Linked DNA regions of Coturnix japonica. The protein of the gene in region 1 binds, or shares a complex with, the protein of each later gene. Links are inferred from orthologs where the notes say so. Each region holds a gene or a part of one and is shown on either strand. Other genes may lie near its edges.

The links.
Region 2: IMMT (region 1) and MICOS13 share a complex: the UniProt entries of both Homo sapiens proteins name them as parts of the mitochondrial contact site and cristae organizing system (MICOS) complex. The link is inferred for Coturnix japonica from reciprocal best matches to the Homo sapiens genes IMMT and MICOS13.

Annotation. Positions count from the first base shown.
Region 1 is NC_029519.1:77,504,800-77,508,446, reverse strand, and holds part of IMMT (MICOS complex subunit MIC60), read left to right. Parts: intron 1-8; coding exon 9-110; intron 111-269; coding exon 270-406; intron 407-750; coding exon 751-854; intron 855-1,205; coding exon 1,206-1,341; intron 1,342-2,384; coding exon 2,385-2,514; intron 2,515-3,647. UniProt on the Homo sapiens protein: Component of the MICOS complex, a large protein complex of the mitochondrial inner membrane that plays crucial roles in the maintenance of crista junctions, inner membrane architecture, and formation of contact sites to the outer membrane.
Region 2 is NC_029543.1:715,214-718,337, forward strand, and holds MICOS13 (MICOS complex subunit MIC13), read left to right. Parts: upstream 1-1,428; 5' UTR 1,429-1,506; coding exon 1,507-1,535; intron 1,536-1,619; coding exon 1,620-1,776; intron 1,777-2,101; coding exon 2,102-2,153; intron 2,154-2,306; coding exon 2,307-2,404; 3' UTR 2,405-2,504; downstream 2,505-3,124. Other genes in the region: HSD11B1L (hydroxysteroid 11-beta-dehydrogenase 1-like protein), read right to left, coding at 127-218, 301-412, 671-801, 997-1,084; scaffold attachment factor B1-like, read right to left, coding at 2,826-2,955. UniProt on the Homo sapiens protein: Component of the MICOS complex, a large protein complex of the mitochondrial inner membrane that plays crucial roles in the maintenance of crista junctions, inner membrane architecture, and formation of contact sites to the outer membrane.

The sequences.
Region 1 (3,647 bases):
TTTTATAGGTAAAGAACATGAGGGTTCCCATGCTATAAAAGAACGATCGCCGGACGAGGTCGCGGCTCGTCTTGCCCAGCAGGACAAAGAGGAGCAAGAGAAGATCGCAGGTGAGCCCATACCTGGAGTTCTGCTACACATGCTGTAAGGGACAAAAGGATTGTTCCCAACCTCTTGTGAGCCACAGAAAATAACGTAAGGAGACACTTGAGATATAATGAATCACTTCAATGATGAGGCTGCAGTTAATTCCAGTATTTTCTTTCCAGCCCTTGCAGCAACACTGGAAGGAGCCCTGAGCTCTACGGCTCGTGTAACACTGCAGGCAATTACTGCACAGGAATCTGCTGTGCAAGCAGTGAATGCGCACTTGCAAATACTGAAGGAGGCAATGGACAACTCGGAGGTAAATTGGGCAGCTGGGGACTTGTGTTCATCGTGTAACTAAGGATAAAGTCTGAGGTTTAATGTTTGTCACAGTTTTACCTGATCTTCCCACTTGGGAAACGTTGTAGGGTTTAATAATAAAGTGCTTCTGCTTTTGACATGTCCCACTTTGTGTAGGACTGCTGCTTTCTGTTGCAGAGGGTATAATGGAGTGGTCAATCACAATGTCAAGGTTCAAAACCACAACAAAAACGATAGAAAGAAGAAATTCTTAAGAGCTTCCAGCTGTGTTGTTATTATCTGATGGGTAATTTTGTACCGTGGGCATTGTGATAACACTAATGATCGATCTGTGCTTGTCAGACTGCTGGGGAGAAGAAATCAGCTCAGTGGCGCACTCTGGAGGAGGCTCTGAAAGATCGAAGGAGGGCAGTGGATGAAGCTGCTGATGTCCTTCTGAAAGCCAAGTGAGTTCTTTGTATCTCCTACCCATACTTAAATACAGTGCTCCTTAGTTCAAGTAAGACTGAAGAAAACAATAACCCATAATCCTTCTAATATCATTTTGGATCATTTGATCATTATTATGCCTATTGTAAGAATTCAATTTGCTGCACTCTGGGTCTGTTGAGTCAATAACATCGTTGGCTTCTCCTAGCTGTGATGTAAAATTAAGTCTTACAGCACTGTTTGTTGGTTCCATTCTTCAGCAGAGCCACTCCTAAGGCTGGCTATTTATTAGATGTGTGCTCATGCATGTATGTGGTTATGCAGTAAGACCTGTATGTGTTATAATCAACAGCTTCATTTCTTTTCAGAGAAGAGTTGGAGAAGACAAAAGGTGTAATTGAGAATGCCAAGAAGGCTCAGATCCCAGGAGCCAAACCTCACATCATTGCTGCAGAGGAAAATCTTCATCATATGATAGTTGACTTGGACAATGTAGTGAAGAAGGTAACACTTCCAGCTGTTCTTCATCATCATTAGAACAAGGACTGATTGGCAGCTTGTGAGACCCCCTTTTTCCACGTCCTTTATAGCAGATCAAGTATTTCTTAGTTTAAATGCTATTTCTAAACACAATTTTCAGCTATAGTCAGTCTTTGAGCTGTGTGTGGTACCAGTGAGTTGTCTTGACAAGGACTTTGCATGAAAAGCCTGAACTCTGTCTTGGAACTCTGCAGCCAGTTTGTTCAGTGTCTGCTCTTTCCTTGGGCAGCTTTCATTTCCTTCTTTCTGATGCTGGACTTGCAGTTCCTTCTGTCTGATGCTGGACTTGCAGTTCCTTCTGTCTGATGCTGGAGTGGAATTAGGAAGATGAGACAAACTATTCAGGGTGCTGATTGGCGTAGTGTCCTCTCACTGAGTGTATCCAGTTGTTCTGGTGGTGGCTCTTGTGCAGGGCATGGGAGACATAGGGTTGGATTGCTGAGATTACTTTTTAACCTTGAAACTTGTTTCTTTGGATCTGGGGCACACCTATAATATTCATCAGGTTGGGGAGGAGTCTGCTGATGACTTTGTGGGTATATCACTTTATGGCTCAGAAAACAGGATGAAAAGTAAAGTTGAAATCATGCCCTTTTGCAGGATAATGGATTGCTCTGATGGAGGAATTTCAGTGGGGAATTTCTCTGAAGTGTGGGAGTACAGAACGCAGTGAGGGTTGGGCAGCTCCCTGCTGGGGCTGTGATGGCTGCATGCTGCTCTGATGGTAGAAAACATTCTGTAATGAAGGTGTAGAGCTGGATATCTCTAAAGGAACATATTGTGTTGGTTTTTTCTGAGCTACAGATTGACTACAGTATTACAGTGTGCGTGTGAAGAAGTGGATCTGTGTAGTTGGGGTAAATAATTACTGTGTATAAGAGGCTTGATGTCACAGGGCAGCTTTTCCCCAAGTGAGGATAAAGATCTCTGCCACTAACTCAGGTTTGATCTCAGATGACTTCAGTCTCCTTGGAAGATAAGCCAGTCTCCTTTTTTGTTTGTTACAGGTTCAGGCAGCACAGTCTGAGGCCAAGATCGTGGCTCAGTATCATGAACTTGTGGCTACGGCAAGAGAGGAGTTTCAGCGAGAACTCGAGAGCATCACCCCCGATGTGCAGCCGGGCTGGAAGGGGCTCAGTAAGTCTGCGGCGATGGCAGTCAATCGTAGAGCAGTTCATAGAGCAGCTGTAACAATGCCTGCTTTCAGGATTCCCTGATTCTGAGCTCCCTGATTCTTTCTAGATAACTGAAAGAGTGAATTCACTGCTCTTTAAATACTTCACTTATCCCAGTGTGTTAGTTCTAAAGGAGAGTGACACAGGAGTTGATCTGGAGTAACAGCCAGTGCTGCACAGAAGCAGTAAATGGCTGCGTGGTGTTTTCCAGCTGCTACAGTTCTTTGCCTGAGGTCTGACATCTGGCACACTCATGTTTTTGAGGTGCTTGGGTTTTTCAGCTGGAGCTCCTTCCTGCTTTCCTTAGAACAGATAAAAGTGAAGTGAGAAATGTGATTCAGAAGTACAGTTAGAATCTTTCTGCCTCAGTAGAGGGATAAATGTATTACTCAGAGTTGTTGGAAGGTTCAGATACCACCACAGTGTGATTGCAGGCAGGCAGGGAAGGAGTCAGGCTTGCAGTTAAATTCTTATGGCTAAAGCAAGTCAGCTCATCCTCTGTGATCCTCTTTCTTAATGGTACTTAATGCTCTAGAAATGTGAATGTTAGTCCACAAACTCATTTTCAAAGCTAAATGAAAACACCAGGCCTGTGTAACACATGGGGTTTTTGTTCTGTAAGAAGTTGGGAGAACTTACTAGGTTGAGAAACTGCAGTTTGCTGTGCTGTCTCTCTTATGTTCAATCTTCTGGGATATTAGTTCTGAAGAAAATGGGATTTGGCATCTGGAGATGGAGCTACCATTTCTAATGCAGGATAAGGGGAGGACATCCTGAGTATTGTGAGCACTGCACTGTTCTGAGAGAGGGAACATCCCGGCAGCTTCCAGGCGTTCAGTTTCACACCAGTGTGACCCTACTTAGTGTACAGGACTGACTCGATAGTGACTCTCACTGCTACCTGGGAATTTGTCTCTTACCCAACTGCTCGTTTGTAAGGACCTGGAAATTCTCAGTGTCCTGTTGCACTTCTTTACTTGTATTTCTCGCTTTGACTGAACCTAAAGGTTCATCTGTGGGTTTCCAAAGGCAGCTGTAGTGGTGGGGATGTTTGGGTTACATCTTGCTTGTAACAAGGAGGGATCTCCGGAGTCT
Region 2 (3,124 bases), on another chromosome or scaffold:
AAAGTATCAGCCTAGAAACACACACACGGTTGCCCTCGGCTGCAGGCAGAGCTCTGAATCTGCCTTCGAGCCCCTCCAGGTTGTCCCAGGAGCAGCAGAATCACAAGAACTGCTGGGAATCCTCACCTGCATGAGCCAGCGGCTGTGCTCCACATCCCCGCCCCACATCTCAAACGGGGAAGTGCCGATATGGTTCAGCACGAGGTAGTCCAGCCCTCCTGCGGGCACAGACAGCAGTCAGTAAATACAGGGGTAAATACAGCAGATATTTGGCTGTGCTGCCATTCTTGTCCCGCTTACCCAGTTTTTGGACAGCGAACTGAACCACCCTGTCGGGCTCTGAAGGTGAAGACATGTCAGCTGGGAGGTAGAAGACTTTCTTTGCTCCGAGGGTCAGACATTTCTCCATCACCTGCGAAAACAGCGCTGTGCCAATGGCTCAATGTGAGGTGGGGGGGAGGAGCAGCGATAAGGAGCAACATCGGGCTGCGGTGCTGCCCCCTGGTGGGAGAAACACGCGCTGCAACAGCGCTGCTGGGCGACAGCAACGGGGGAACCCAGCACAGGGGAACCCACATGGGGTCAGTGCAGGGGATGGCAGCACAAAACAGCCACAAAAGCCCGAAGCCCAAAGCCCGAGTCCCCGCCGTTCTGTTCCCTCCTCCCTCACCTCCCGCAGCGCCGCCTCCCTCCTGGCGGTCAGCACCATCTGAGCCCCATAGGCCGCATAGCGATAAGCCAACTGCTCCCCGATCCCGGCGCTGGCTCCGGTCAGAAGCACGCGGGCACCGGAAAGGAGCTCTGAGAACGGGACACACGGACACAGATACAGACACACAGACGGACACACGGACACAAGTGTGCGGGGAAACGGGGCACGAAGCGGCGGGTGGGGGCGGATGGAGCCGCTGCTGCAGCCGGGGCCGGTTGTGGCCGCGCTCACAGCGGGGGCTGCGTGTGACTGAGCGGCCGTTACCGAGTGTCGGACCGTGATACCTGCGTGGAACGGGTCGTCCCTGCAGCGCAAACACAGCAGCGCAGCCAGGAGCCCCGCGGCACAAAACAGCTTCGTGATGGGAACCATCGTGTGCGGGACGGGACGGGGCGGGACGGGAACGAGCTGCGGGAACGGAACGGAACGGGATCAGTGATGGGGGACGGGGGGAGTCCGAGCGGAACGGGGCGGGATGGAGGCGATAGAACGGGCTGCCCCCCCACAACGGGAAGGTGTCGGACCGGGTCAGGCCTCATCACCCCGTTATCTCGCTCATCTCCCATCATGTCGCCGCTCACAGCGCCACGTTCAGCGGGTGCGGCCCCCACTCCCCGCCCTGCGGCCCCCAGCCCCCTCACTGCCCGCCCCGACCCCTCACCCCAAGATGGCGGCGGCCGCAGCTTCCTACGTGCGCTCGTTGCCGTGGTAACGGTTGAGAAGGAAGTGGTTCTCCACTCTTCCGGTCACGTGAGGCTCCCGGCGGCCCTCGCGGCGCTGCCCTTGGTGCCGTCATGGCCGCCCGCATCGCGCCGCTCATCCGGTCAGTGACCGCGGTCAGACCCGGGATGGGAGGGACGTAACGGCGGGACCGAACCGAACCGAGTCACTGCTTTGGTCCCTGCAGGTTCGCCATCAAGGGAGGCCTGGCCGGAGCCGCCGTGTACGTGTCGTACGATCAGGGGCTGCTGGGCAGCGGGACCGAGGGGGCAGAGGCCTTAAAACGGGCCCGGGAAGCGCTACCGGCTGCGGTGAGAGAATGGAGCGGACACGTGGGATGGGAGGTGAGAGGGAGATAAGGGAGATAAGGGGAGATAAGGGGGGAGATAAGGGGGGGATAAGGAGCAGCATCGGGTCTGTTTGGACCCACAGTGACAGGGAGACCCTGAAGGAACCAGCAGCTTTTCCATATCGGATCCTATTATAAGCTGTCACGTATTTCCCCTCTGCTTTTACTGCAGCTCAGAGCCCAGAGCTCACTGATGCCCATTGACTCTCATTGATTCTCATTGATGCTCATTGATGTAGCACCAAACCCCTTTGGGCTCCGTGATCCCCCTGCCCCCCATTGCTGCCCTTCTTTCTTTCTTTCTTTCTTTCTCTCTGCAGCTCCCACCCGTTCCAACCTTGGATTTCTCCCCCTCGGATTCCTGGAATAAAGGTAAAATCCCATTTCATTATTTGTGGGAAGGGGCCAGTGCTGCAGCTTGTCATAGAACCACACACTGGCCGGGGTTGGGGTTGGTGCCACAAATCAACCTGCCATGTGCCTCCATTGCTGCTGTGCTGTGCTGACTGTCCATGTCCCTTACAGGGGTGCACACGCTGATGTCTGCCCTGTCGGTGGCTCCCAGCAGAGCGTGTGAATACACGGCTCAGGGCTGGAACTACCTCAAGGATCTCGTCAAGTGAGCTGAGCACATCCTCTGTCCCGCTCTCATTCTGTCCGTCCCGTGCTGCTCCCACAGCTCAGCCACAAGGGCTGCAATAAAAGACTTTGAAGTTCTGGTTTCATTGGGGTTGGTTTTGACAAATAGCCCCCATTGCTCCATGCCTTCATAGCAGTAGGTGCCTCAGAGACGACTGCAGCCGTGAACTGTAAACTGTTTTTTTTTTTATTTATGGAAAATGGAATGCTTCATTAACAAACAGTTTTAAATGAGGATATGAACAACACGTTACAAAACAAATGAGTTCACATTGGATCGAGTGACGTCGTATGGCAGCAGCTTAAAAAAGAAATTCCACTTACAGTGACCCACGAGCTCCAAGGGCCGGACACCCCAGGGACAAACCAACTGCAGTTGCCACGTAGCGTTAGAAATTAAAACATTCAGTAGCGACGGTTGAAGCGAGGGTCGTTGGGTCGGCTCGCTCGCTCCTGGCCGGCAAATCCCTCCCCTTGCATCCCCCCTCCGTGCATCAGCTGACTTTGGTTCCCTCCTTGCATGAACCCTCCTCGCCTGCAAAGTGGGGCAGATGGTTTGGGGTTGGTTCTCTCCAATGAAGCACAGGAATATTCTGTCATCCCTTGACATTTCAGTAACAAATTGTGTAACTGATAATCCCCTAAAATTCTCACTTAAATGCAAGGGACTCACCCTGAAAGGAAATGGAAAGCAAAGAAATGCT